Lytechinus pictus: one gene and its partner. The protein of the gene in region 2 interacts with the protein of the main gene of each other region in a biochemical or structural test. Links are inferred from orthologs where the notes say so. Each region holds a gene or a part of one and is shown on either strand. Other genes may lie near its edges. The genes, in order: alpha-crystallin B chain-like; probable citrate synthase 2, mitochondrial.

Region 1 (15,835 bases), on a different chromosome or scaffold from region 2:
TATAAACATAACTACGTAACAGCCAATTACATCCTACACTATACGCTGTAAAAAATATTGGGTAACATTTTAACCAGCACGAGGGTAATTATGTGTCCAACCAATTTGTGGCAGCATTTTACCCAATGCGGGAAGCATATTGTCCAGTAAGGTTAAAAAAATAAGCAGCAATTACTTTAGAATGGGCAAAATTTTCATCACAATGGATAAATAAAAATGCCCAAAACAAATGCCAAATTTTAGTTGGACACATAATTACCCTCATGGAGCATTTTTACCCAATGTTTTAAGAGTGTATGAAAAAAATATTCAGATTTGAATAGCGCTGATCTGTTTTATAAACAATAATTTCTTAAATCTCCTAAAATCATCCATTCAAACTTCTAACATAATTCATTTTAAAAATATGCATTTCAGTTACTTTCAACTAGAATTGGTGCAAGGTGTCTAAGGTTTTTTGTAGGCCTTAGGCCTACCGCATCAGTGCAATGAGATCACATGATTTTGTGAAATTATTTTTGTGTAAACTTTTAGTGATAAATGATATAGCTCGGAGCCAAATAAAAGCGGTTTGATTTGAAATTGGATCTTACTCAATGGAAGACAAAATTCAAAGATTTATTTTATTTATGTATTGACGCATAAATTAAATTCAAGTCAAGCTATGATTTACAGAAGATTTATCTATGAATTTGTAAATAGAAATCAATATTAAGCAAACAAAAAATTTTACTTGACATCTTTGTAAAACAATTTAAAGTTACAGAATTTCTAATCCTTAACAGGGTCTTAATGATTGCTTCTTGATAAGCCTAGGAATTTGCCATTTATAATCGAAATAAAGAAACAAGCAAACTCTGCTAATTAACAACAAAATTGTACAATACTTAAAAAATAAAAAATGCAATGTTATAGAGGCCGATCGCCTGTCCCAATATAGGCTTACCATGTGAATTAAAGAAACGAAATATTAAAGAAAATATATCACAGAAGGTGCTTAATGATACACCATGTCCCTATATCTTGCGTAGAGTTGCTATTGATTTAAATCAAACACAAACCGGGATTGTTATCAATTCCTATATTTTAACAACACAACTTGAGATCAATATCAATTTTAATTCGATTTAAATCGATCGATCACAACTCTTTACAAGTCGGTGCTCCATGCAGGAGGTGTTTCACAAAGCTGGTTTTAAAGTTACAATGACATGTTACGAACAACTGTTTTATGGCAAGCCATCGAGTTCTCCAATGGTTTTAATCGCATGACCTAAAATCTGAATAAGCAGATATCAATTAGCACTTTTGTATATTGCGATCTCTCATTTAGAGACGTAAAATAAATATTTTCTGTTAGTGAAATTACCTTTGTCGCAGTAACGATTTACTACACCGTCCGGTACGACTTTGGGACTATATGTTTACACTTTATGGGCTATTACCGGCATTCGTTATAAAGCTTTGTGTAACATAACTTTGGGAACATATACGGTCACATCAGTGAAACCGAAGTCGGCCCGATAGTGACATGGCGAGATACGTCACCTTGCCAAGTCGACTTTAATACACTCATTATGTTGCGAGATATGTTGTTTTGTGAAAACTGACACACAAAAGTTGTATGTCAACATGGAAATGCGTTATCTCTCCATGTCGACTTACAAAAAGGTTTATTTTGGCATGGTAAAATTTTGACAAGTCGTCCTATAAAAAAATTATATGTCGTCATGGCGAGATCTTGTCAAGTCAGCCCCAGAAAAGGCGATATGATGATACGGCGAGATAACAATCTTGCCCAGTAAACAGTAAACGTCGATCACGTATCTCGCCATGTCGACATACAACAGACTCTGTAAAAGTCGACATGGCGAGGTAACATATCTCCCCATCTCGTTAAAATTTATTTTCATGGCACATTAAAGTTTGTAACCAGCTGGGGTGAAATCGGTTTGGAGTTTGTTCTGGTGGCTTGACTATAATACCACCAGGGGCCCGTTTCATAAAATAAAAACTTGTTATTATAGCAAACGCACAATGTCTATAACAAGTTTACTATCAGCCAATCATAATATTGTATGATTCCAGTTGCTTTAAACTGTTATTGCGAATTTGTTATTATAACAAGTTTTATGAAACGGGGCCCCAGAACTTTCGGTGATTTTACTTCTTAGCCCCTCCGATGGCTGGCTTACTCTCAACCTTGATGGGGATGTTTTGGTTCTTTGGTTTGGGAGGATTGCGGGGAGCTTGGATAGCCAGGATGCCATCTTGGCCCAGTGATGACGTCACAGTGGTAGGGTCGACATCGGGTGGGAGGGTATAGCGACGGGTAAACTCCCGGGAGATCTTGCCGTGGTCGTCCTGTTTTTCCATGTGCTTGCCGTGCACGGTGAGTTCGGTTTCAACGATCTGGGAGGGGGAGGGGTGATAGAAAAAAAATGGTATCAACAGATTAAGATATTTTTTCTTGTAAATAGTGTATTTTATGTTCACTAAAAATGATCGCAATTGTCTGCATCAGTAATAAGTAGAATTAGTACTGAATTTGATGTACAATATTGAGATTTGGTTAATATTATTGTTTAAACTATGATAATGACATTATTTGGGGCTAACCTCGACTAGCACCTTGCTATTATGTTAGCTCCAATTACTAAATGCTGTGTTTATATGTAATGTACTATTCCATGTTATTGTACCTGACAGTAATAGTTGGTAATAAATTAAATTCAATTCAATTCAATATAATGGTCTGAGTCGAAGCACCTATAGGCACATTTTTGTAATAAAGATATATGACGTTAATTATAATATTCAAACAAGGCTGTTTAGTATATGAAGTCTACAGAAGTTGTTTTATAGCAGTTTAAACAAAAATATATATTTTCTTTAATTTATTTAATCTTTGATAAATTAAGCTTCATTGTTTAAAGTGTTGAAAATTCATGCAGTAAACAGCATCGTATAAACATTTTAAACAGCGTGTTTATTGTGCATATTCCATCTTGCATCTCATTCATTGCTTTATTATGTATCACTGTCATCAATGACGTAATGAGCCAAAAACAAAAAATAAGGGCTGAACATTGTGTATGGGGCAATATTTGGAAGTCATGTCATATTCCAACATTTTGTTTTTTTATTTCTCTTGGTCGTGGAATATTTCGGGCCCCAAACCCCAATATAGGCTTATACGCCAATGTTCCCGTCATCATTATCATCATCGTCATCATCTTCGCCATCAACATCATCATCAACTTCATCATCATTATCACTATCAACATCATCACGATCATCATTATCACCATCATCACTAACATTATCATCATCTTCATCATCATTATCATCGTCATTATCATCATCATCATCACCATCATCATTTTCATCATCATCTTCGTCGTCATCATCATTATCATCATCGTCATTTTCACCATCATTATCATCATCATCATTATCATCATCACCATCATTATCATCACCATCATCATCACCACCACCACCATCATTTTCATCATCGTCATCATCATCGTCATCGCAAGCACCATCATCGTGATCATAATAGCCATACGATATATCGGGGGAGACGTCTTCTAAAAATACCTTCTCCGAATGAACACCCACACACACACCGAAACGTATGCAAGAATATTCTAGTTTGATGACTGCACGTATAGGAATGTTCGCCCCCATGCAATTAAATCAGCGGGGATCATTACATTGCCCTCACGAAAATTCCATCAAAGTTGGATACAGCACGTAACAATCGAGGTATATGAAAGTGGATACTGACGGATGGTCCTTTACTACTAAACACGATCTCCAACCTTCACCACCCCAAATATGAAATAACAAATAATAGAAAATCATTATGTATTTAATGATACTTTGAGATTTTGAAAACCGTTTGAGATTTTTGAAAACCGTCATGCAAAAGTAGTCATAATTTCTCATGTATTTCTTTATCAATCCACCCTCAAGTTTGGTTAGGCCTACTTGACCATTTACATATTCCTTCTCTTTCCCTTGTTATTTGTATGCGTTTATTGTCATTGATTTTGTTAAATCCATTTTTTATTAAAAACAAATGCTTCATAGAACTCCAAAGTAATTATTAACATCCAAAGACCAGGAGTTATCCCGTACAACAATATATATACAAAACATGTATACTAGCCTATATCTAATTTGTCATTTTTCCTTACTTCTCCCTTCAAAAATTGAAAATAATAATTATGCTCTATTTTTCACGTGTACACAACCTATTAAGCCAAAACGCATTAATGACCTTGACTTTGTTTCTACGCAAAATAAATGTACATAGCCTAAATAGGTGGCGGCGTCAACTCGAGTCACAGAGGTGCGTTATACCTTTCTTTCTACCTCCATGGTTATACCAACACGGTAAAAATAACAGTTAGTGTGTGCCCAAACACCCTCTCTTCAAGTTCGAAATACAACTTGTAGTATTGCATGGTAACGTGAAAAGTTTGTAGAGAGGGATTGTTTTTGACATGGGTGTGGGTGTGGGAGTGAGGAGGAGTTTCTTACTTTGGTAGTATGGTGATAAATTGCGGTCTACGGTAGTTTGGACGGCCATTAATGTAATAGCGGATCGATTCACGGATTTATTTTCATATAATAACAATCTACACTCAAATCCAACAAGAACATGCAATAATATTCACTTAAACAATCCCAGGACACTATTTGCACATAAAACACTAAGACATCATGGACCTGATATAGTGATATTTGGAATGCATTGCCAGATTCACTCAAGCTGACAAGATCATTTTATTCCTTTAAACGAACTATAAAAGAATTGCAATTAAACCAATACCTAACAAATAAAAAAAAGAAAATCATTATCATTGTTATCGTTATTTTAATTAGACATTTACTTTTATCTAGAACATGTATAAATTAAAATCAAACAACAAAACGTGTTTTTTTCTAACATTTCATGCCAAGGACCAAGCATCTCCCTTGCCCCCCCCCCCCCCCTCCCAGTCCCTCATGCACTTGCACGTTTTATGACAATAGATATTAATTATTTTGGCTATTTTCCAGGGCTGTTACGTTTTCAAGCTTTGCTTTTGTGAAGACCCTTGCAACCATCCTATTTATTGTGTAACAGAAAATACCACTTAATATTTTTCATTTATGTATGATATATTTGATGATTTATATACAAAACTATTGTTCATTATCTTGATGTAAAATTTCAGATATGTATTTTCTTGTCCAGAATTTTGTTATGAAAAATGTTGCAAAAACCAATAAATGAAATGAAATGAAATATTAAAGTGAGTGCTGTTCTAACTAGTTCACCCGGCCGAATATAAGTCCACACCAACCTATACTATTAACAAAAAATATTTTATTTATTGTTTGTCATGTTCTTGGATCAAAGTTATTTCCATTGCCATGAAACCACTTGTAAATTTAAGGCATCCAACCACAAAGTTACATATTAGAGGCCTATTTATTTTCAGGTGTTATGTCCTTCTTATCATACAGTATTAAATTGATGTGCTGTGTAGATTTGCATGATTTGCTATGGAGAAAGCTAAGAAATACATACGTGACCGCCATGAATATTACATGTAATCTCATTTAATAAAGCATTATTTTGAGGATTGTCATCTTTAATCTATGACAGTTGTCCACATTCTGAAGATACATGAACCTATTTAATGTAGATTCCTTATTTCGATTCAAATGTTGGTTGTTATAATTTTTTCCCACAAATATGAGTTATAACAGAAATAAAATGGGTCTCAATTTTTTCTGTAACACGTCATAAAGCTTTTCCATAATGGGAAATAATTTTCTGATTATGATTGGCATTCACACAACATGCATAATATCCAGGGGCCGCGGAACGGCTTTGAAAGTGGGGGGGGGGGGCTGACCATGCAAAAAAATCACAATCAGATGGTCATTTTTTTTTCGTTTTTGTACACTATTTAGAAAAAAAGTGGGAACTGAAGCCCCCAGCCCCCCCCCCCCCCCGGTTCCGCGGCCCCTGATATCCAATCAAACAAAGACACATGAGACTCGTATACACGATGGGCGGCACCAGGGGTATTTTGATAAAGGGGCAAGACGTCCCGAAGGGGAAGTCCATTCTTGCATGAAAAATATGATTATTGAATTTAAGAGTTACATGACCAAGGCCCCGTTTTGTTTAAAGTCCCCTTTCTTCCCCCTTGGTAATTTTTTTTGGGGGGAAGGGGATAGAGTCACAAGGATGGTTCGGTGATCCTGATAGGTGTTTCATATACCTGTTCGTAACTTACGAGCGATTTTAAGAACGACTGGTGATCTTTTCTTAGAAGCTAATTCAACATCAATGAAAATTTGGTGTTTATCATATACCACAAGAAAGGATCACCAGTTATTCGTAAAGTTGCTCGTCACTTATCAACAGTTTTATTAAACACCCACCAAAACCAGGAGAAATAAGAGGGTCATCAATTCCTTTTACCTTGATTTCGATGTCCTCCGGGTCAAAGTTACTGACGTCGACAGCCACTTTGAAGTCGGTATCCGTCATCATGACATCCCCCGTCGACACGGGAATGGGTGTCCTCCCCATCCTCATCGGAGGCATGCTGGCGACTTCCATCCTCCTCGAAGGCACCATCGCCGTCGTCGGCCTCGATGTCACGTAGTACTGCGAAGAACTCGGGTGAGACGGGAAGTCGCCGAAGTCGTCCTCGAAATGGACGGCGTCGCCGAAGCGTTGCTCGAGACCGAGTCGACTAGGCATTGGTTGATGATCCCATCCGCCGTCGTCGGTGAATCGACGTCGAGAGCTGTAAGAATAATTGTAAGGATCTCGTCGTAAAGCCATTCCAAAGTTTTGATTATCGGGCTCCAGGATTGCGAAAGCAAAGGGAATTATGGACAGAAGAACTTGAACTACAGTGTGCTCGTAGCGTTATCGTAATATAATCGTAGTGTAAACGTGGTATAATCGTTCTTAAGTCCAAAATACATAAATAAACTTTAATAAAACTCAAATTGTTTCCCTTTGGTGAGATGTTCAGAACACCCAAAACTAGAGCGAAAGTATATAGGTCCTCCAAGATGCATAAGGAAATAGTTGGTCCGGATAGCAAGAGGAATTAGAAGCGACCGGCACTTGATGTAGAGAATGGGTGTGTTAACGGTAGCTCTCTACAACTGGAGCTGGGTTTTATTCCCTCCTACCCTGCACTGGTATCTAGATCATGCAATGAATTCCATCCACCTGACATCAGGCATCAGAAAGGGGACCGGGGGGCGACCGTCGAGGTGCAAATTAATACCGGGGAATGATAATGGTTATCCGTACATCTATGTCACACCGTCTCAGAAATGTTTTGACGGGCCTATCATGTTGGTTAGCATAATTATGAACCTGTATCAAATATTGGTTAATTAAAAATCTATATTCGCTTATTTCATTGTAACCAACATTTAAACGTTTATAATTATTATTAACCAACCTGTTTTATTTCTGAAAATGTATATTCGTTCCAGAGAGAATACTTGTTGAACAAAATAGCGGTGCTTTTAAATGCAATTACACTAATGGATTGTGAATCATTGTGAATCAAACGAGGATTGCAATTACATGGTCTAAGACAATTGTAGCATAATGGGGGTATGTGTTAAAGTGAGAGAACTGTGGTACCAGGGAGGGAAGGGGGCAAACAAGAGAGAGAGAAAGATTGAGAGAGAGAGGGGGAGGAGAAGACCATGAAGAGCAGAGCGTGAAATAGAAGATTAGAAGGAGTGAAACGGAGACAAAACAAGGGGAAAAGAGGGGGAGGAATACAATTTTAAAAGAAAAATTAGAATGGAGTGACGTCACTAGTGTAATGCTTTATACAAAGGGGGAGAGCGGAGAGAAGGGGAAAGAGTCAAGAGGACTCCGACAAATGGGATAGAAAGGGGGTCGATTGTATCATGTCACTCCTAAACACACAGCTCTCTGATGGTCCTATCTATCATAAGCATGTCAATATACTGAACGGAATATAGACTAACCGTGTCAGATTCCAGAAATCCCGACATCCACCCTAGGCCGCTACAAAATACCTACACGCCTTGATAAACATTACCAATAACCCGCCGCTGGTAGAGTGGTGTTATGGTCGGATGAAAGAAGCTTCATCTTCGATACAGAGGTGATTTGAGGGGATATAAGAAGGGGATGTTCCTCTACTGAAATCACTTCATATACCCGAGGCTGCTACAAATACCTACACGCCATTACAGGGGCCGCGGCCCATGCATTATACATCCTCTCCCGTATAGAGGTATGCCGTACTGATAGTAGGGTTCTCTTTTGGCCTTCTACCTCTCGGCAAATTTGGAGGAATGAAATCGTTACAATTCCATGGACAGTACTAATCCGATTATGAGACGTGCATAACATTCATTCCACATACATTTTGTTGGAGCCTGATCAATGTTGAAGGGGACATACTCTTAAATACAAAATTACCATCGCACTAAACGGTAAGGAATGTACCATATAAAGTATTCATTATCGCAATCATTCTTATCCAATTTATATCATGACATAATTATTATGCAAATTTAAATTTACTATTATATACAATCCATTATTAAGTCTGTTTCACGGCGTGTCTCACTTAAAGATATAAATCTACAGAAGTCGCGGTCAGGGGTACTCTGATCAGTAACATCTATGTTATCTTTATTTACCCGTCTTTTTTATATAAAAGGGCCTTTAACTATCTCATATAAATCTCTTGAAAAAATCCCATCAAGAAGGAAACATTAATCATGTTTATCCTGGATATGAATCGTTTCTTGTCGGGTATGTTCCCCAATCGGGAAGTGAAATTAAGCGCCAAGCATTCGCCCAATAGATATTTCGTGATGGAATGACTATTTGCTTTCTATTAGCCATGATTCCTCATTTCATTTTACAAGGACACCCTATATAGGCTGAGAAGAATTCGGATAGAATTAATATAGTGGAATCAATGAAAATTTATTAACAAATCGGTTGGAAAACGACGCAGCTATGGAAATTAACATTTTTGAATTATTTTGGTGAAATAGTGACCGACGTGATGCTCCCATCCTTCAGTTTCGTCGTAATCGTGTCATGTGAAATTATAATCATAATAATTTCCTACTTCAAGAATAAAACAGTGAATGAATAAGTGATTTTGACATAAAAAATCACTTTAACTATTTAACTATTTTTTACAAAAAAAATGTTTACACATACACATATTTGACAAAATCGAAATATATAAATAGAGTGGAATCAAACAAGCAAAGCAATGAAAATTTATTCAAAATCGGATGGTAAACGACGCAGTTATGGAAATGTGAAATTTTGAATTATTTGGTGAATAGTGACCGAGGTGAGTTTCTTCGCTATGGTATCATGTGAAAGTATAAATAATCATAATAATTCCCTACTTCAAGAATAAAAAAGTGAATTAATTAGTGATTGTGACATAAAAAAATCATTTTCATCAATTTATAAATTGATTCAAAATTGATATAAATGATTCATACAATTATATAAATTGTGGATCATTCAGGTTTGAAATATACTTTCAAAAACATACATTTTTTATTACATTTTAACATATTTAATCCACATTCCTTATTCAAATCGCATTCGCATTTCGTTTCTTAAGAAAATTTGTCCACCTTGTTTTATTTACTTTTATGATTATTAATACTTGGAATTGTGGGATAGACAAAAGGATTTGAAATATAGAGAGAGGAGAAAACAGGCTATGAAATAATAAAACCTAAAAAATCCTAATTTGCAATAAGATTAAATGATTAAATGTATGCATTATTGAAAGAATTAAACGAATTTAATAATTGGATAGAAATATGTGAAAATTATATTATTTTTTCATGAAATTGATAGTAACCGTGCATATTGATAAAATTGAAAAAGAAATGAAACCTCACCTTAATTGTTGTCTCCATGTAAAGTTTGATAATAAAAAGAAAGAAAAAGATTTTTTTTAAATTGATAATTATAGCAAAGTTATATTTTTCTATGTTTATATTTTTTTAAACAATAAAGATAAATAGTGTTTAGAATTGAAATGTTTATTACACCTTTTTGTATAATATTGATATGCGCTGTTTTCTATTTTAGTTTACAATGAGTGGTAATCTTGTAAGGACTTGGAAATTCTCATCTAAACCTCGAGCTTTTAAACCTATAATTTCATACGAATGTGAGTGATTCTCAGAGTAAAGGCCTTTAATTTTCCCCTTTAATTACTGTATACTTTGTAAAAAAAACATTTCTCATCTCTAAGTCTCGGGGTAGAGCCAATAAAACCAGTCTGAAGAGCTTTCCCCAGGCAGAGCAGTACACTTCACATGATTAATGCTGTACTTATGCTGTAATCTACGTCGGATCTGAATGTATTCTTCCCAAGCTTTGGGCGCGAATAAATGTAGATATCGATATCTCACTGTATCCCTCTTTTCGAGCCTCTCTTCTGGTCTGTGAGAGCCCAGCAAGCAGAACGAACGTCTGCAAATGAAAGTTAGCTTCTGTTTCCATCATCCATGAATATGTCACACAAAGCTTGGCGATTGATCGTAACGTTCATGTACACATATGATTTTACGTAGTGATCAGTGCAAACGATCGTAAAGATCAACATTGCAATCAATGGCTAATCTTCGTGTGACAAGACCCATATCATATGACACAGTCCGTCGTTATCGTCAGTGGCATGGTGGAGTGAAGTGTTGAGTGAAGGGCCAGGGTGATTTTAAAGAGTATAGGTCTATACGAACATGACAAAGCAAAACTTAATTGCAGCAGTTTATAATGTAATATGCAAATAATTTGTTTGAAAGGTTCACTGGGTTGATTTGCGACCAACATGCAATCTTGATACAAATTGATTAATAGTGTTAGAATCAATATGAAGAAATTAATTTGTCATATTAACAATATACCCGTGAACTGCACTTTTAACATATACATTTATATATATATATATATATATACATGTATATATATATATATATATATATATATAAATGACAGAGTGTACCATGACGTTAGGACAAAAGTCTGAGCCCCGGTGTTTGTCCCCCAAAATGTGAACAACTGACAGGTTTGTAATCCATGTATAGCCCCTTTTAAAAATAACAAGAAAGCGGTAAATTTTGTCCATTTAGTTTTCTCAATAGGGCCTAAGCTTTAATTCATAAAAAGGCAACAAGGCGGCATTTAAAAAAATACTTTTTGCACAGCTTAGTTCACCGTGAAGAGACTATATGTATTTAGTTACCAGCATTGTCAGCTTTCGCACCCCTTCAATCGCCCCTAAAGATTTCAAATCAGTCTTGTTCTCTCCACTGCCCTTATATTGGCCCCTCTTGTAAATCGTGGTGCAAAGTGCATGACTAGAACACATAATCTGAATGGGTCTCAGCCTACCTTACATGTGCATTCTGGCTGGTGAGATAGATAGATATACAGCGATGAAGAAGGGAAATTGAAAGGAAACTGGAAGGAAATTATTTGGAAAAATTGCGATTCATGGCAATGATTGGTACAGCAAATCGAAACGAAGGCACATCAATTTCAGGAAATGGTGTCGTAAAGCAAGCGAATTGAAAATAATAACTGTGGAGGAAATGGTATGGTTAAGGGGGGGGGGGGCAAGACGAAGGGGGTACCAAGAGACATGGGAAGAGAGTGAAGGGGGAGTAGATCATTATTCAAGATTATAATGAGACAACCGGTGTACGTAGGATTGGCGCCTAAAGAAGATCTTCATAAGATGTGAAGTGATTATGGTCGATTGTCGAAGGGTGCGTGTGTGTGTGAGAGAGAGCGAGAGGGGGGGGGGGGTCGATCAAGAAATGAAACAAACAGTGTACGTAGGAGTGTTGTTGATATGAAATGACTTCGATCGTCAAAGAGAAAGATAGAGAGGGGGGGGGAGAAGGGGGTCAGTTTAGGAAATATGACACAACCAGTGTACTTTGGAGTGTTGCCTAACAAAATCTTCATATTAAGATAAGAAGTAATTCCGATCTCCAAAGAGAGAGAGACAGACAGACAGACAGAGAGAGGGGAAGTTGACAGAAAGACAGATTGACTTATACAGAGCAGACGAATTTGTTGATAATTGGCTATCAGCCTGTTCACCCAATTCATTAAAAACATAGATTCATGTATAGGGGTGTCCGACGATCTACCACTTGATCACCATCGAGCACACATTTCCTCTAAATCTAAATCTCCAAACAGACATAGTAGTCGGTGTGGAATTAAAACTAAATAAACACCTCCAGATACAGATCGACTAAGAATAAATGTCCACGTCCCTTGACAAAAGCTCCTTTATACAGAAAATCTCCCAGTTCAGGGAATTGACATCACGTATATGATAAAGTAGCCAAGAAGTATATAGACTGAAATTGAGACGGATGGATTTATTGCTTCTAGGAAAGGAGAGTCTGATACATATTGTGATCATTTTGTAGTAAATTAGGGTAGATGGTAGGATAATATCAAGGTTTTATCGTTCGTTAATCTCCACCGTGTGGTTTGAAATAGAAATGGAGCTGCCAATAACAAGGATAAAGAAATGCAGAAAAAAGGGAAGATGAGGAACAGATAAAGACTTAAAGACGATATAGATGTATGGATATGGTGATTGAGAGAGGGTGAGAGGGAAAAGAGAGAGAGAGGGGGGATGGGGAGGGGGAGAGATAGGAGAGAAAGAAGAGTGAAGGAGGAAGCAAGAGAGAGAAAGAGAGAGAGAGAGCTGGATGGAGGATTTTTCTATTTAAAAAATATAGAGTAAGACCTACCTAAAAAATAATCAACCTACTATTTCTCTATTTTTCATTTATTAGAATATAGAGAAAAACACCTACACATGACAAGAATGAATCCGCACACCCGCCATTGATCTTGCCGTGGCGAACTATAGCCCTTACTTCAAAATATTTTCTTACATTGCTACTTGCGATGTTGCATTATAATCAGATGTTCCCGAAGCAGCCAATGTTCCCTCGTGAAATATATCGGTAATCGAGGGCATCCAAATTAGAAATCGATATAATAACAGTACATCTGAGGATTCGAGGATTCATGGGTGGTAGTAAGATGATGACGATGGAGAAGGGGGAGGAAGAATGAGGAAGAAAAAAGATGCCGGATAGAGATTTCAGATTAAGAGAGAGAGAGAGAGAGATAGGGGGAGAGATGGGGGTGTAGAGTAAACAGAGCAGTGAAGACAGAAAGAGAAGGAGGAAGGCATAGGTAAAATAGGACATGATATAAACATTCCTTACGATGAAAAAAATAATGAACAACACTGTTATATAATTTAAATAATAATTTAAACAACGCTGTTTACTGTGTGAATCGCACAGTAGTTGTTTAAACAGTTTAAACAAGTGTTTAAAATCTTAAACAACCATGCTTGAATTATTGATAATTAAATATTTGAATTTAACTGTGTTGTTTAAGATTTTAAACACTTGTTAATTTTTTTTAAACAACTACCGTGCTATTCACATAGTAAACAGCGTTGTTTAAATTATTTTCAACAGTGAAGGTAATGTTGCAAGGTGACTGTCATTGTGTTGGTGTTGTTGTTGATGATGATGGTGGTGGTGGTGATGATGATGACGACGACGACGACGATGGTGGTAAAACGATGATAGTGATGATGATGATGCTGTTGATAATGATGATGGTGATGGTGGTGACGACGATGACAATGATGAGGATGACGAGGATGATTATGATTTTGAGGATGATGATGATAATGATGATGATTATGATGATTATGATGATGATTAGAAAGGCCACGAGAGTTATGATGGTGACCACAATGATAATGATCAGTGTGTAATAAAGATATTTATGGTAACGATCATGACAAATGGGGCTATCAGTGATGATGATGATGATGGTGGTGGTGATTATGATGCTTATGACCATGGTGAAGGTGATAATGGCGAAGATGTGGAAGTGGTGGATGAGTAGGGCAATGATGATGATAATGACGACGATGATGATGATGACGACAATGATGATGATGATGTTGGTGCAAATACATATGATGGTAATGACGTCGGAATCCACGATGATTTTCCTAATAATAACGCGGACCATGGTATCGCGGCCACTAAATAATGATACCTGACAATGGAGGAACTAACCTCTATCAAATGTTAATAAAAACTAATCCAAAAATAAACGAAACATATTATAGGCCTACATAAAACTGAAATGCACAACAGTATTACCTACAAGCCTGCTATTATCATTACAATCGAAGGTGACTTATATATGTCTCATCGTTGTTTCATGGGGCAATAGGCAGGGGCGGATCCAGTATTCACACACGGAGTACAAACAATTTTGTCAATTTCTCTCAAATTAATAATGAGAAGCAAAAGTACCCCCAAAACCTTATCACTCCGAAATAGAAGTCTTTATTACCGTAAAGGAGCCGGCAAGCAAGAAAACAAGTAAAGAAAAGGGGGCAACTGCTTCAAAAGGGGCGTGTCCCCCGTTCCCCCTCTGAGTTAGTCCACTTGAATGATGAATTTACCTCCTGGCATTGAAGATGAGGAAACCGTATGGCATGATATGGCTTACAATGACTATAGCAATTAACCTCACTCTGCCATTAATGAAGCATGTTCTAACTCTGTTTGAATTAATTATGTTGTTTTCAATGAGAGCAACGGGAAGGATGATAAGGGTATCGAGTACCCCCCCCCCTCTTCCCTTCCTCAACCTCACCCCATTACCATACCCATCACATCCGCCATTTCTCTGGTCAGATGATTAATATGATTAAGACAGAATTGCTATGTGTTGAAAGCTTTTTCCGACTTAAAGGTAAAGTTCAAATATCTGGTAGATCCTAACCAACAGTTTTTTTTTATAAGGACATATATTTACCAACATATTGGTTATTTCGACTAATCCTTTCTAAGCGTTATAGACCTTTGCCAGGAGCTTTTCCTATTTATGTTTGCGCGAAACCTAAATTATGGTTGTGCTAGAGCAACACCTACATTCTAAATAAATGAATAATTAATGTTTTTCAAAGACGTGTAATGATATTCTCTCGATATTAGACATGCTAGTTGTGATTATACTTCATACTATACCATGGATACACAGTTGATCTATACTCTACTTCATTATTCCCCAGTGATATTGGTTCTTATAATTTTCATCCCCATCAACAGTTAAGTCACATTCCGTTTGCTTAAAAAATATCTTTGCTTAAGTCAAATTATGAATACCCGTTTGAATGTCATAATTATTCAATCATGATCAGTGTCCATTATTACTTGAAATATCATTCAATTTGAAAAGAAGTAAGTCATATCTGTTTTACAAGTCAACATGCATCTGATTGAAGCTCTATAATTCCATGAAGAAAATAAGACGTCACCATGCTGCGAAAATTGATGAGAATCTTGAAGAACGGTCGAGGGCTTGTATCACAATATAGTTATTGTAGCAATAAATGAATAATATTGTTAAGATCGTCATTTATAGTTAGTATTTTACTGGACCATCGATCAGGAACGAGCATCATTCCAGCATGGGCCCACAGTGGTATATGGGTCCATGATTCCAGCAAAGATTGGCACAGTTCTTGTTCAAAAAAAAAAATTAGGACGAAACTGCTGTAATAGTTCACCAAGCTGTCCTTTGTCATTTGAATGATGGGCATTGTCAATAGATTAACTGTGTTCTTGAATCCGTCATGTGTCGCGATTGAGAAAAGATAAACCCTTGCAAAGAGTTTCTGTC
Region 2 (16,102 bases):
AGCAATATAAGCAAGGAATTCCATTAGATGTTGGGTGCATGCATTTTTCCAAACAATATAATACACTGTCTCACATATGCCTTTTTGTGCTCATCAGAATTATCGGTTTCAGCTAAGATTTCATGATTTCACAAAGACAAGTTTATTTCAATCAATGTACCAGAACTACATGTACAAGTAGAGCTATGATAATTTTGGTGGCATTTAACCATAATTCCAAAGACTTTCTCATTAAATAATTGTTTGCTGCAAATACTTTCTTTCACCTTTAATTTTACAATGTCAATAGTCATATGCACATCCTGGTGAGTACATGTACATACATGTATGCAAATGAGTGAACTCATGATGTCATCCACTCCCATTTTCTTTAGTATAAAATATTCAAATCTTCTCATTGTCTTGTGGAACAATGTCTTATTCCTCCATGAACACGTGGAATTACATTTATTTTAACATTTTATGGTTCAGTCATGTTGGATGTTCTTGTCAAATCTGTAAAAATTGAAAAGAATAATTCAAATTTTCAAAAAAAACCATAAGAAATAAGTGAGGGACATCATTGACTCTCTTACTTATAATGTCACTGAGTTTTGTATATACGTGTAAACTGTTCTGTGAAAAAATAAGCGAAAATTTGAAATGTCATAACTTTCTCATTTTAATCTGATTTTGATGAAATTTTCAGCATAATGTTGGTCTGACTTTTTCTTCATCAATTCAAATCATCATTTCTCTGGGGTGAACTTGACGTTTAACAAAGTCCAAGGTCTTCAATTACTGGGGAAAAAAATCTGAACTCTGCTCGATACTTTAAAATCTGGCCAATTAACTTAACTTTAATACTTTGGAGGAAATCATTCTTTCTTTGACTAGATAGGAAAAAAGCCAAGACAAATACATGTATATTTTTCCCTTTTAAGTGAAAAACTACAAAACCTATGCAGATTTCATAACTGCAAATAAAAATAGTTTCCATAATCTCTAAGGCTTTCAAATAAAAAGATGTACAGTATGCAGTTTTCACACCTGCAGGCTGACACAATGGGTTCCCTTTGCACATCAAACCAGACCCTTCTCACATGGATATCATTGCATTTCTTTGTAAAGATGCTGGTAATTGATTACACCTAATAATTCATATACATAGGCCGATATGATGGAGTAGGTCCTGTAGGGCACATGTACAATTAAAGGGGAAGTTCACCCTGACAAAAAGTTAAGTGTAAAAATAGCAGAAAAAATAAAAATATTGCCGAAGGTTTGAGAAAAATCTATCTTTAAAAGGTTATTAGAATTTTAATTATTTGATTTGTGATGTCATGAGCAGCATTCTTACATGTATAGCAAATGGTAATATCAATGTCATTTTTTCTGAAAATTGAAATTGGTTTTTACTGTACCTTTTGTACATGTATATCAATAGACAAATCAATTCACATCCGATCATGAAAAGAAAACAAACATAAGTCATCAGGAACCATTACAAAAGTGAAATTCATGCATTTTAAATTACATAACATAATGTATGAGGCAGCTGCTCGTTTATGACGTCATAAATCCAAAACTTAAAAATAAAATTCTAATAACTTTCTTCATCTTTAACAGATTTTCCTCAAACCTTCACCAATATTTTTCAATTATTTTTTCTGCTATTTTTATAACGAACTTTTCTTCAGGGTGTATAAGTGTTAGACTATGGCAAATCTTGTACAAAAAAGTTAGGGTTCACCTACGAATATCAATTTATTGAATTATCATTATTCTGTTTCATACAAGATAGGGTTATGATATTATAATGGGCAAGTCCAAGAAAAGGTCAACCTAGAAGGCAAAATTTCATCTTTAATTTAAATAGTTATCTTTGATGGGGTAAGAAAGCCCAAATGTTGAATTTAAAAATTTCATTAAAAAAATTTGATAATATGCATATTTATGCTAATTTGGGGCACCTAATTTGCATAATTGGTAAAATGGGCGTTACGTATGGGACAATTATAAAAACTCATAGAAAATCAAAACAAAACTTGTAAGATTTAGTCATAGGTGGGACATGGACCCCCTAACATCTTATTACTTTTGGGGAAAAAAAAGTGGTGTCATCTAATTAAATATGCAAATTAGGTCTTGTCCAAGGATGGAATGTCCCATACGTAACATTTTGAGGATGTTTTTTTAAGTTATTTCTCATAATACAATACTTGTATTGTTGCATCTCTGGGAAGTTCTAATTTATTAAGTATGAAAATGTTATACCACAAAAAGTTTCAAAAATATCAAAAGTTAATTAAAAAATTGTTACGTATGGGACAACATGCTACGTATGGGACATTTACAAACAATGTCAATGGGGAGATTTGTGTACAAAGTGAATGGAGAAAAACAAATTTCAAGAGTGCTAAAAAAAGTAATTATTTACCTTTTCTTTAGTTAAAGGTAAATGCCAGTTTTGGTAACGATCTCAAAATGACTTTTTAAAGAATCCAATATAATGACCACCCAAGTGTCGGTTTGTATGAATAAAAAATATGTGCCAAAGGATTCTGGAAGAAATTGTGTAATTGCTGAGAAATAAGCAAAATAAGCGCGGATTCGGGCACTTCCGTCGGGTCTTTATTCCAGCAATAATAATATACTGTCCCACGTGTGCCTATCTGTGTTGGCGATCTTCAGTGTGATCGTTTTTCAGCTTAGATTTTATGATTTCACAGAGTTCAGTTTATGTAACTGTACCAGATCTAGATCCACGATGATATAGTTATATTTAACCTTGGTTTTACAGACTTTCTCACGAAATCAGTGTTTACTGCAACTACTATCATTTAGCTTTAAAGACTGATTTGTTATGAATACTGATTAATGAAAACAATCAAAGCAAAAAAATTGTAAAAAAATTGAAAAATATGAAAAAAAATAAAAAACATTAGAAATACATAAAAAATTCATGAAACCATAAAAAAAGAATAAAAATTGTTGAAATGGCTAATTTCCTTTTCAGTCATATCAAATATGTCTTAATAGAACATTTTAAAAGAAAAACAAATCTTTTGTTATTTACATTTATAATTCAAATTATTTTAATTTTTGAAATTATGGGAAAAATTGTGTACATTCTCTATGGGGACAAAATGTCCCATACGTAACATGTCATTAATTTGTTTAATTAGAGTCTGTAATTAGAGGGTTTGGGCTTATGGCATGAAACTTGCCTTAGATATACAATAGTGTTGTGACTTCTATCACACTAAGTTACAAGTTGTCAAATGAAGTACTTTCAGAGAATTCTCAACTTGAAAAAAATGTTTTACAAATTTTCTTTTTTCTGCGTCCCATGCGTAACGGCACATCTTTTCTCTCTAAAAGGTCAAGGTCATTTGTCACCATTTTTTGCATCATTATTTTTCTCCTACATGTAGATGTCTACCATCATGAGGGTATTCAATCTAATCAAAGTCATTAAACACTATTTTTCAGGTCATTAAAGCCTCTGAAATGTCCCATACGTAACGCCCACAAATTCTTGGACTTGCCCTATAAATACAGTGTATGCCTCGGAATATACTGTATTTCTAAACAATGCAAAAATAGTTTTTGTTTTGCCATAAATTTGAAGATTAAGACTAAGAAAGAAAATTTCTTAAATCAATAGATCTGTAAAGTACATTTCAGTACGAAACAAACAATAATATTGAGAATCAATGGACAGAGTTGACTGGATTATTCATTCTTTTTTAATTTTACTGCACCAAATTGTTAAAAAGAAAGTGTAGCATTGGTAAAAAAAAATATCCATTAATGTGGGTTCAGTTAATATTCACATGACACAATGTCACGTGAATATCAACAGAACCCTTTGTATAAATTCTCTCATTAAACTTACTTTATCAATGATTTGAGTAAAATATTCTGTTTGCCCACCCCCAAACCTGTGACTGTGTATTTCAGGAAATGAGTTGTCTGACGTTTCATCCAAAAAAAATCCTGTTGTATCCAACAATAACCTTTGCAACAGAGCCTCTCAGGAGTCTCAGCCAATCAAAATCTAGGAAAGATGTCAGATCTGACAACTTGTCGGACAAAAATATTGATGAAACGCTCCCTTGAGCATTTCTACTGAGATGGACATTGCGCCTATAAATTGCATTTATTAATAATATAGGCTAAACCTCAACAGAAAAATCTGTAAGATTCATTTCAGAGGATAGATGACCTGTAATTTGGATTGAAGTCTTAGGAAGTGTTGCAAGATTTATTTGCAATCAATTGCATATTTCAGATGCCAATTTGCTAGTGATAGACATATTTTAACTGAATCAATGCAAGAAGCAGAACATCAAATCAATTGCAAATTGGAATGAAATGCATCACTTTAAAATGAATTTGGTACACTGTATACCCAATTGTTGTGTGTCCGGACAATCAATTTTAAGCAGCCATTGGAAAAGTTAACGAGGAAGTTTCCATCAATTTTTTTGATAAACAGTTAAGCAATATTATAGAGAACAAAACTGAAGTAGATTACTATCAAATTCATATTTTTTTTTTGTAATCCAAAGCCAGAAAGAAGACTTCAAAATTTTAAAGTGTCCAGACACCCCACGCCCCCAAAACCATCAGGATCTACTTCATACTGACTTTTAAGATAAATTGCAAGTTTCTTGCAATACCCCATTAGTCACGTCTTCAGTGCACCTCCCGTAGGCGTAGGCATGACAATTTACAGGCCCTAAAGTCTTAGGCCCGTATTCTGAAGTTCGGGCTTAATTCAAATTCTGGTTTAAAGTTGTGGTTTAACTATGGATAGCAAATTGTGGCATAAATATCTAACAGTAGAATTTCAATGGATCAGCTCATTTTTCTCTTAAATCATTCTTCACTATTTCGGAAGGATAAATAAGATAGCTTTCTTCACCATCCATGAGTTAAAAAAGAACATAGTAACTATAAGGAACATACAAATTACAATGTAAGAAATTTTTTTGGCTTTCCTTAATTTTAGCAGAGTTAGACCATGGTCTATAAAGTTAAACCTGGGGAGCGTTTCATCAACATTTTCGTCCGACAACTTGTCAGATCTGACAACTTTCCTTGATAATGATTGGCTGAGAGTCACCGTTACCATAGTAACTGTCGGATAAAACAGTACTTGTCGGATAAAACGTCCGACAAGTCCTTTCATGAAACGCTCCCCTGACTTCAGAGTAAGGGCCATGTCTCCCATTATAAGATCAGGTGTGCACCCCCCCCCCTAGTGATGTAGCTATTTTTACTTACTGTTGACTCTGATGCATTTCTGACCCCAGCACCAAATGCAGGTAGAGCATTCTGTGAGGAAAAGAAGAAAATCATTAAATCAATGGTGGAATCTCAGCATACAGTGTAAATTCCAAATAAAGTTTTATATACATGTAAATCAACAATCACAAAAATGACAAAATCAATTTAGAAGATTTTACAGTAAGACTAAATTTAAAGGACAAGTCCACCCCAACAAAAAATTGAATAAAAAGAGAAAAATCCAACAAGATCAACACTGAAAATTTCTTCAAAGTTTGATGTACATGTGTAAAATAAGAAAGTTGACATTTTAAAGCTTCGCTTAATCTCACAAAATAGTTATGCAGATCCTAGTCAGTATGCAAATGAGAGAGCTGATAACATCACCCACTCACTGTTTCCTTTGTATTTTATTATATGAAATATGAATACTTCCATTTTCTCTGCATTATCATGTGAAACAAAGTTTTTATTTCTCTCCGAACATGTCAAAATACCATTGTTTTAACATTTTCTGGTTCAGTCAAGTTGGTCATTATTGTCAAATCTGTAAAAATCTTATATTGTATATTCAGAAAATAAAAAACAAAAGAAATAGTGAGTGAAGGACATCATTGACTCTCTCATTATTATCAATGAGTTGTGCATTTAACTGTTTTGTGAAAAAATATGTAAACTTCAAAAAAAGTCATAATTTTCCTATTTTACATCCGATATTCATATTTTTAGCATTATGTTTCTTTGATTTTTCTCTCTTGAGAGAACACATATGTGGAACACATAACGTTAGGGCCTTTGACTTTACATTCGCTCTCAGTGCAGTGACTATCTTACAAAATTCTTAGCTCTGCTTAGACTTAGTCACAGACGTATCCGTGCCACACAATGCACAATTTGAAAACTGTGACACTACAAATATTATAGATAGTCAAGTGACAAATAATAACAAGTGCTACAATCCAATCAGAGCACGAACTGAACAATACAGGAACTCGATCTTCCCATCCACTATCAGTATCATAACATGACATTGAGTGGAATCACCTGAGTGACGCTGTCATCAACTCAACATCGACAAGCTCATTCAAGGCCATTGACAGAACCTTCTCTTCTTCTAATCCTCACTCCGCCCTCTCTCACCCGATGCATTTATGCCCAGGAGGAGGGCCCTGCATCGTATACATCCAGATCCAGACAGAAAATAGTCAGTAAAACAAGTGTCCCTTCTCGCTTCACTTCATTTCATTCTCATCACACACACAGCATGTATGGTTGGAACTACCCCTTATCGACCACCTAATCTTCTAAGCATCGTATCTGCGAAAATATTTATCAATTTTACCCAGTTTTTGTCTCGTTTGTGCAGAAAATTGAGCAGATCAGAATCCCATGTTTCGCTCGGCGACTCCGATTCAATCCGCGTATATATCGACGAACAACGAATACGACGATTTTACATTTGCTCATTTGCACCCGTCTTTTGAAACCGAGCACCCGCGTTACGCTAAATTTACGGCCGATTCTTGCCGCAGTGGTGAAATATTTTTACTTTTCAAAATTAGTTCTATGATGTCAACATGCTAAATTATCGTCTCACTACTTCCACTGCGAGCTCCGGCACATGATTCGACGATTGACGACGGATATTTGTTCTAAAGACGTTTCCTATCGGATTTCTTGGTTTTTCAGCGGGGTTTGGGTCTGGTCAATACAATTTTGATTAATTCTACTAAATTTTTACTTTTTGTTGCTTCTTTTTTTCTCGTAAAATCGATTCTTACCGTTTTTACGGACACTGTGCCTACTCTCCCGCGCGTATTGTTTGTAGGCCTAATAATACGCAATAATTTTAACACGCGCAAGGTGGTCGGTTTCAAAAGAGGTGGTCGATATGTGGTAGTCTCACCATACCGTATGTCCAGTACCGGTTATCTAGAGACTGTATTTACTTCGGGCGAAATTCGTGCAGGCTCCACTCCACTTCACTACCGCTACACTACGTCTACGCTCCACCTACCCGGGTAGGTGGAGCGTAGTGTAGCGGTAGTGGAGTGGAGCCTGCACGAAATTCGCACTCTGAGATAAGACGGTATTCAGCATGAATCCGCGTCGCGTCAGGGCGGCGTTGCCATACCTCATTCACAAATCATGATCACCGCGAAATATTCACCTAAAAAAAACCACACACGATATAAACCATACCTTGGCATGTAGAAGTAATCTCCTAGTTGCTATATTGACGAGAGACATAATTTTAGGTTGAACTTAACGCCAGATTACTTGTAAAAGGGGACTTTAATCCAGTCCAATATCACCGGCGAGTTTTCTGCAGCAGCGTACCGGAAGCTCTCGGCATTCTTAAAGGTCATCCGGCCGGGTCATCACGAGCTCGATAGCTGCTCGCGATCCGTCGCGATCTCGATCTCGCGAGCTAGATTTCCGAGGGGCGCGCCAGGGTCGGGGTGAAAAAGGGAGCTTCGAGCCCTCCGAGGGGCCGGAGAAGTGATGAAAATAATGATCCCATCCAGTGGCGTACCTAGGATTTTCCACAGGGGGGGGCAAATTCGTCCGCCAAGAAAATTTGACAAGCAAAAAAAAAAAAAAAAAGTCTTCAACCACAAATAAAGGATTTCATACCAGAAAAAAATTTGACAAGCAAAAAAAAAAAAAAGTCTTCAACCACAAATAAAGGATTTCATACCAGAAAAAAATTTGACAAGCAAAGAAAAAAAAAAAAAAAAAAGGTCTTCAATCACAAATAAAGGATTCCGTACCAGAAAAAAAATTGATAAGCAAAAAAAAAAAAAGAAAAAGGGCTTCAAGACTCGTCAGGGGGGCAGGGATATGTCCCTTGCATGGGTTGTGACTCGTCAGGGGGGGGGGCAGTCTGCCCCCCGTAGTTACGCTAGTGATCCCATCCCATTGAGGGGGGATCCAAGTGCCCCTATCTGTACGTCAGTGATGTAAATCCTGCATGATTTGACTGATTCCCTAAATCTCGTGAAATGGGAGCTTCCCAATTGAAGGGCGAGTAAATAACAGCCTGATTGAATTGAAAAAAAATGGTATAATTTTCACAGCATCGAATTAACTCAGACCTGAGTGTATGTATGTGCACCTCCTCTAGGTATAATGTGATTATCGCTAGATCGATCAAGAAGAAGACTAATTAATAAGAAAATGAAAAAGAATTAAGAACAAAAATAAATTAAGCCTATCAATAGGTGCCCTATTATTTTAATGACAATATAATTAATATATGTTTATCATTGTCTACAGAATGGTCCATTTATGATATTTTCTTCCATATCCGCCTCTTTGTTCAATTGATATGTTCTTTTGATTGATTGATTGATTGCATTTGTTCTTTTTCATTCCAAAATTCAACTGTATACTATTCTTTTCCTTGTTTAAGCTTAAAATGCGGTACATTTTTGAAGATTTCTGCTTTTATTATTTCATGTAAACTTCAGACCCCTAGCACTCAAATTCTTCAGTAATGTTTTGTTTGATAACTAGTATGTTTTATCATCCTATTTGCTGTATTAATGTTCTTAGTCAATTTTCACCAAAATCCCGTATACCATATACGTTTCAATACACTCATGTAAGGGGAGAGAGAGAGTTAATTTACATATCATTATACCATAATTATATTTATATTTTGATATACTGTACATGTACTCTTCTTAATTTAACCAACTATGTTTCTCACTCTTCAGTTTCTCACTTGGTTTAAATCAGAATTACATCTGTGTATTACTACTCTCATACTCATCTCTTCTGTCCTCATCTTCCCCAGCCCTCTTTCCCTACTCTACTGTATCTCCTTTTCCCATTATCTCTACACTCTGGTCACCCTTTCCTTAATCTGTCAAGTTATCCAAAGTGTTTGTATTTTTATTTGTAAATAATATATTTATAAAGTTCGATTGCTATATCATCCTATCATTTTATTGTTATATTTTGTAAATCCAATGCAATTCAGTCTAAATGGCTGCGATATGTGGATATTCTAATAAAACCTTCAAACCTTCAATATTTCGCTCGCGGTTCGCGTAAGCCTATATATTATAATGACGAATCTCATTTTAATTATCGCTGATGATCAATTTTCATATATACGATGGGCGTGGGTTGTGGATATCCCAGCACCTGGGGGCCTTGGGAGGGGGGGGGGGTGACATCATTATTGCCGTTGATAAGGAAAAGACAAAAATTATTTCTTAATATTCTAAAACATATAATCTAACAAGTGAATCATTTTTTTGAGCTCTTTAATTGTTATCTAAAAAGCCAGCAAATCGGAGAAAAGGAGTCATCGATCTATACAGTCTTCATTTTAGTCATTTTTTAATATACCGTATCTCCGATATGTCCGAAGAATCAAATATGTTTAAAAATGAGTAATTCTTGGCAACGGATTCATCCTATGCCATGAAACTATTACCTTAATTATACTTAACAGCCTTTAATCAAACAACTATCACATAGGCGGATCCAGGGGGGACCCGAGGGGCCCGGGCCCCCCTATTGGCGGAGCAAAAAAAGAAAAAAGGGGATAGAAAGAAAAAAAGAAAAAGAAGAGAAGAGAGAGGAGAAAAAAGAAGGGGGGGACATTTATATGAGGAAGAAGACGAGTGAATAAAATAAGATGAGGGGAAGACTTGGAAACTAATTAAGAAAATCTTTCATGTCACTAAATAAAATTTTCGCTCGCGCTTCGCATTGCCTTTTAGGTGATTTACATATATTGTTCAATATGGAATTTAAATATCTATCAAGTTTGGAAGTCAATATACAAAACATATACATTTCATCTCAGAAATCGAACATTCATTATTTTGTGTGATTTACAAATTGATTTTAAAAAAGTGCTCTGTAAAAATGTCAGTTTTATGGTCTGAATATTAACATTTTCTGCTCGCGCTGCGCGCTTGCAAATTTTAATTTACCAGATACCTATTATTTTCGTGTATTCCATAAAGTTTTCAAAATATCCCTTTTCAGGTCTGATTGTCAAAACGTATCAGCTAGCGCTGCATGCTCGCATTTTGATTGGCGAGCTATGTCTCAATATTGATTATACAACAAACTACGTAAAATCCCCTTTTCATGACAGTGTATAAAAAAATTTCGGCTCGCAATTTGCGCTCGCATTAATGGTTAATAATATATTAACTGATGCATCCTAGTTATAATTACAAAAGTGATTGAAATGTCCAGATTTCAGGCCATCATATCATCAGATTTCGCGCCCTTGTTAGGCATTAATGAATAAGATATTTATTTAATAATTGAATTGGCACTTTTGTTTCATCTCGAGCTTAGCAAGAGGAATAGGAAGACAGTTTTCATTTTCATATGATGACATGTCCTAAGGACATCATTTTCCAGTGTCAGATCACAATATCAAACATTTTCTGCTCGCGCTTTGTGCTCTCATTATTAATGTAGAAAGATCCCGTATTACTCATTAAGTTTTCATGATTTACAAAACATGAATAGAGTGTCCAGTTTTTAGGTCTAAATCTCGATTTATTTTTTCAGCTTGCGCTTCGCGCTCGCATCAATTGCTTAGTTATATAGCTATCTTGTTCAAGATTATAAAAAATTGATTACAATTTTCCATTCTTAATGTAGAAATGTCAAAAATTTTCAGCTCGCGCTTCGCGCTCGCATGATTTGATTGTTGAAATACGTAACGTCTCCATGGCTAAGTGGCAGTTCTTAACGGGTACCTTTTCGATCAGTTCAAAACGCATATACAATTTTTCTGCTCGCGCTTTGCGCTCGCATTATTAATATAAGGGAGATCCCCAATTACTCATACTTTTCATGATTTACAAAATACGAATAGTGTCTCGTTCAGCAGGTCTTAAAGTATACATCCAAAGAAAATTCACGAAAGTGATGATTATAGACAAATTATATATGAATGGAAAGGTCTTGTCTTTTTATACACAAATATGTCACTAAAAAGTCTTATTGATGTCTTAAAGATATATGAAAGAAAGTCCGCTCGCCGCTGTTTCCTAATAATGCTTCGGCAACTCAACTGCAATTTCAGTCATTTCGCGATGGATATTGCCGTGTTTTTTTGTGGTTCCTGACTTTGCTACTCAATGAAATTTCATAATTTTTGTTCAGTCATAAAGAAGAATGTCTATGCTTTATATTGATTATAACATTAATGTGACGCAAGTGTGATTTCTACGTGAAAATATGCTTTGTTTATTCACATATATTTCTTTAAAAAAAAATTCTAAGCTAAATATCGGTTACCAAAATACGTTAAATGTGCACTTTTTTTCACTGTTCAGTAAATTCAAACTTTTATCTATATAACAAGACCAATCTTAAGAGGAATAAACAATTCTAAGAGCAAAAAACGCTGATTGGAAAGATCGTCTCCAATGGGCTGCTGTCAGCTCAGCTGCTCACTGCTCATTGTGTGACGTCACTCAGCTGGAGCTCGCAAGAGGACCGGTGGAAGGCAGAAATATGGCATGAATATAAATCATTTTTAAGAGCTGATTTCTGCAATCTCTGATCACTATTTTGAAAAGTGAAGTTATATATCTGATTAGTAATACTTCCCCTTTACAATGATGACCACATAAAGTCATTATAAAATACTTTTGATTCTTCGGATGTATACTTTAATCTCAAAATTTTCCGCTCGCACTTCGCGCTCGCATTGATTGTTTAAATTAGTTATATAAAAAGTGCTTAGAATTTCCATTCTTCGGGTAAAAATGTCAAAAAACTGCATGCAGTCTTTAACAGGTAGCTTCTCCATCAGTTCGGCTCGCGCTTCGCGTTTGTAGTAATTATTTAGTTGCATACACATCTTTTTCAGGATAACAGACATTGCCCAGAATGTTTAAGGAAAAAATACATAAGATTTCCAAAAAAATTAGCTCGCGCTTCGCGCTCACATTATATAAATAAGGATTATGATATTATATATTTATGTTGATCGATAAGAATAAAGCTAAAAACTGACTATTAGGACTACCCCTTCAAAGAAACCGAAAATCATCTTCGAGCGGCCGATCGGGGAAAATATGGCTGAAAAAAAATCCGGGCTCCCCTATTGGCGAAGGCTGGATCCGCACCTGATATAATTCACATAGCAAACAACCTGTTAATCGCTCGAATTAATAATAATTAAAAGAAATTGTTTTGGAAACATTTATGTACTCTATTTGTTTCCAAGGTCCGTTTCGATCCAGCCCGAAAGATTACAAGCTTTATACTCGTTGAGGTAAAGAAATCAACCTCAAAACAACACAAACAATCAAGAGACACATTATTTGTAATAAATGTATATACTTATTGATAAAATAATTTAAAGAGCTTGTATATAGGAAAGGAATACGGATTATATATAAAACAGTATTATTGATGAACGAGAAAAGGCATACGGGGAAAAATGTTACCCTGCATGTAAAAGCGAAGAGACCGAGCCGAAATAAGCTATGTTTAGGACGGCGGCACGGGGTGGGGAGGGGCAATGACTCCCAATCGCTTTTTTTTTAAAGATGTGAATAAAGAGAAAGATCGAGAAAGAGGGGGAGAGAGAGAGAAAGGAGAAGAAGGAGGAGGAGGAGAGGAAGAAGAAGGAGGAGAAGAGGAAGAGGAAGAAGTATGTAGATGAAGAAGAAAAGGGGAAGAAGGAAAAAAATATATAGAAACGGAGCTATATACATGTAGGTCGGGTTCGTTTAACATCCTGTATAGTAACTTTAACTACAATTAAATTGAAGAAAAAAAGCCTTCCACATCAGGACGTCTTGTCCCCCTAGTAGTTTTGGATATTCACATCTACACTCGAAAACAATCTACTAAAATGTTATTCGCATGATTAGATACCCCATTAGAGGGGAACTTAATAGACCCAATAATTTACGGTAAAAAAAATAATACCCTGTCAAAAAAAATATACATTTGGCTATTCGCTTGGACTAGAATCTTCTTCATTTTTTTTCCGATAGAGTTTATAAAGTCTCTTATTTCAGTAAATAACTAAAGCGTCCCTTTGATAATGTATTTATTCAAAATTGAGTATGTTATTTTTTTGGAATGTATATAGACCATTTTCTTTGTGGAAATCGGAAACAGTGCGGTTAAGTTGACTTTTTTATTTTCCTGTGATCTGACTAACAATCAAAGAAGGTCCAGGAAGTGACCTTTCATGAACAGGGAAATTATGTGTAGATAAACTTCCATAATAAGGTATTTCAACCTGTCATAATCACGCATGCAAACTTCGATCAACAAGCTATGGGCCTATAAGTTCAGGATATAAACAATCGTACAGTAACAATTTTAGGTTTGCAAGGATCGGCAACGAGTGTTGGTTGATTACCCACTTAGACTTTCCAAGTTCATGGAATAAATAATGCGTCTGTCGGTGATTTGTTTAATTAACATCAGCTAAGCAGTTTGTAAAAAAATAGGAATACGGCCAAAGAATGGCCATGGAGGGAGAACAATTGCCAATCATCAAGACACGTTGTTGCATGAGTCATCAGAGATCCGTCTGATTTAAAAGTGAATCAGCTTATAATTATAAAAATAGTTTCTGAATCAGTCCATGTTTTCAATCAAGTTGCATCCAATGGGACTGAAGAAGGTCCAAATAATATGGAGCCACGTGACATCTCTGAAATCTACAGAGAAAAGGACAGCAGTGAGGAGAAGATTCTGACAAGGCCATGCAGTAACTTGAAAGATGAAGATGCAGATGGCCACACTGGAACAAGACCATCGACTGCCTGGAAATTAACTGCCTCCAAACTTCATGATGATAGGACACCCTGTGCTTTCAAAGGAGACCATACCGACGCTGATGCCAAGGAAGGACTGGACTTTGGCTGCTGCAAACGGCATGATGGTCAGTGGAAGAAGTTCTTCTGCAGAGACTGTGATGTGTTCATCTGTGCATCGTGTGTGATCTTGGAGCATGAGAAGCAGGGTCATACATGGATCAGTGCGTCTGAAGCTGTAGGTCAGATACAGAGAGAGGCGGAGGACATCCTGCTCAAAGCAGAGGTGAAGCTGGATACAGTTGGTGACGCCATTACTCAGCTTGAGAAGAAGATTGAAGAGGTGAGTGACTAGTCTTTCAGTTTTCTAATTTCTGTGCATTGTTTGAATGTTGTTTCTTCGTTAATTGGATTTATCCTAAAAGTGTTAATTAAAGAGAAGAGAATGGTATTTCAGTCTACCAGTTACCCTTAAGTTTCGTTAAAAATAAATGAGTATATATTAAGAAGCGAGAAATGGAGAGAAAGAGAGAGAAAGAGTAAAACTATAGAAAGTGGGAATGTTTGATATTAATATTTACATTTTGGCAAGCACAGTACAATTTTATTTGCCGGGTTACATCAACATGATCTGTATCATTGTAAGAAACAAGGTTTTGAATCATTCTGAAACACTCTTGACAATATATATTAATACACCCATTTCCACGAATGTAATTTGATCAAAGGACTACAATGTTTTTAACGCATTTTTTTGTTTCCTTCTCTCCACAATTCTTATATTTTATAGGTACCCCTTCATACACAGGCTCTCAAGGAAAGTGTTACAGCAGCTTGTGATGATGCAATCAAGTATTTCACGCAATATCTGCAATCGAAACGTTCCCTGCTGCTAGAAAGAATCAAGACCCTGGAGAAATCCGGCATTGATAATCTAGAATCATCAAGAAAGGAAGGATTGGAGATTCAGGCCAAACTTGCAAGGATAACCATGTCTGAATCAAAGGTAATAGCTGAAAGGAATCCAGGAGATATCTTGAAGTGGAAAAGCAATCTTGAGGAATCTTTGAAGGCTATTCAGGTGCAGAGCTGGTGTAAACAGAATGCCCATGTAAAGGTTGGTGCCCTAGATCCAGAACTCAAGTTTGTCAAAAGAACTCAGGAAACTCATCAGTGTTGGTGCCATGTTGGCAGGCTAGTGCAACCAGGAAGATGGATAATGGTGCGAACAGTTAAAGTTCAGAGGCAGTTGGGTGATCTGGTAACAGCAATTGCCACAATGAAAGATGGTTCAGTGGCACTGGGATACCAGATAAGTGGGGTATGCATTGTAGATCCTGCAGGTCATCAAAGGCACGTTTTCCAAGATGTAGGACATGTTATAGACATCTCAGTCATGAGCAGACACAAACTAGCCATGTTAGATGCTAATGGTGTCATCAAGGTTGTGGATTTGTCAGGTCAGGTGACAACAAATGAATTCCCTCAAGGTTCTCACCATTTCAAGTGTCTCTCTGCTTCTACAGAAGGTGCATTATTCACGGGATCCATCTCTGAGAACACTATCCACATCCTGGGAGGTGACCAATCCCGTGATATCCTAGCAATGCCAATGTCGCCACTGAAGATTGCTGTCTCAGCCAACCACATTGCCATCTTGCACCAACCTGCAAGCATCACAATACTGGACATGGATGGCATAGAACAGAGTGTCATCCGCGAAGACCAGTGGGCTTATGCTTCAGTGTGCTCATCAGGAATGGGAGACTTCTTTGTCCTCTCTGCTGACAAATCCAACCCAAAGTCACTAAAGATTGGCCGATATGGCTTTGATGGGACAATGGTAGAAACTGTCATTAGTAACTATCGCATATCTACATTAGGATGGTTGAACCCTAGAATAAGTGCTTCATCTGGTAAGATCATGGTTTGTATCGAGGATGAGCTCATTACCTTTGAACGAGAAATGGATACATTGGAATAGTGTCACCTCTATTTCAAATGGTCCTTTATAAAGCACCTTAGTAATAACAATGTAGGCTGCATCTTTC

Evidence for each region.
Region 1: the proteins of probable citrate synthase 2, mitochondrial (region 2) and alpha-crystallin B chain-like form a complex in vitro, tested with the Homo sapiens proteins (3 studies listed by BioGRID). The link is inferred for Lytechinus pictus from reciprocal best matches to the Homo sapiens genes CS and CRYAB.

What each region holds. Positions count from the first base shown.
Region 1 is NC_087246.1:44,745,391-44,761,225, forward strand, and holds the start of alpha-crystallin B chain-like, read right to left. Parts: upstream 7,249-15,835; 5' UTR 6,863-7,248; coding exon 6,494-6,862; intron 2,413-6,493; coding exon 2,164-2,412; 3' UTR 1-2,163. UniProt on the Homo sapiens protein: May contribute to the transparency and refractive index of the lens. Has chaperone-like activity, preventing aggregation of various proteins under a wide range of stress conditions.
Region 2 is NC_087257.1:28,091,966-28,108,067, reverse strand, and holds the start of probable citrate synthase 2, mitochondrial, read right to left. Parts: upstream 7,722-16,102; 5' UTR 7,528-7,721; coding exon 7,480-7,527; intron 5,326-7,479; coding exon 5,275-5,325; intron 1-5,274. Other genes in the region: uncharacterized protein LOC129274671, read left to right, coding at 13,930-14,394, 14,842-16,035. UniProt on the Homo sapiens protein: Key enzyme of the Krebs tricarboxylic acid cycle which catalyzes the synthesis of citrate from acetyl coenzyme A and oxaloacetate.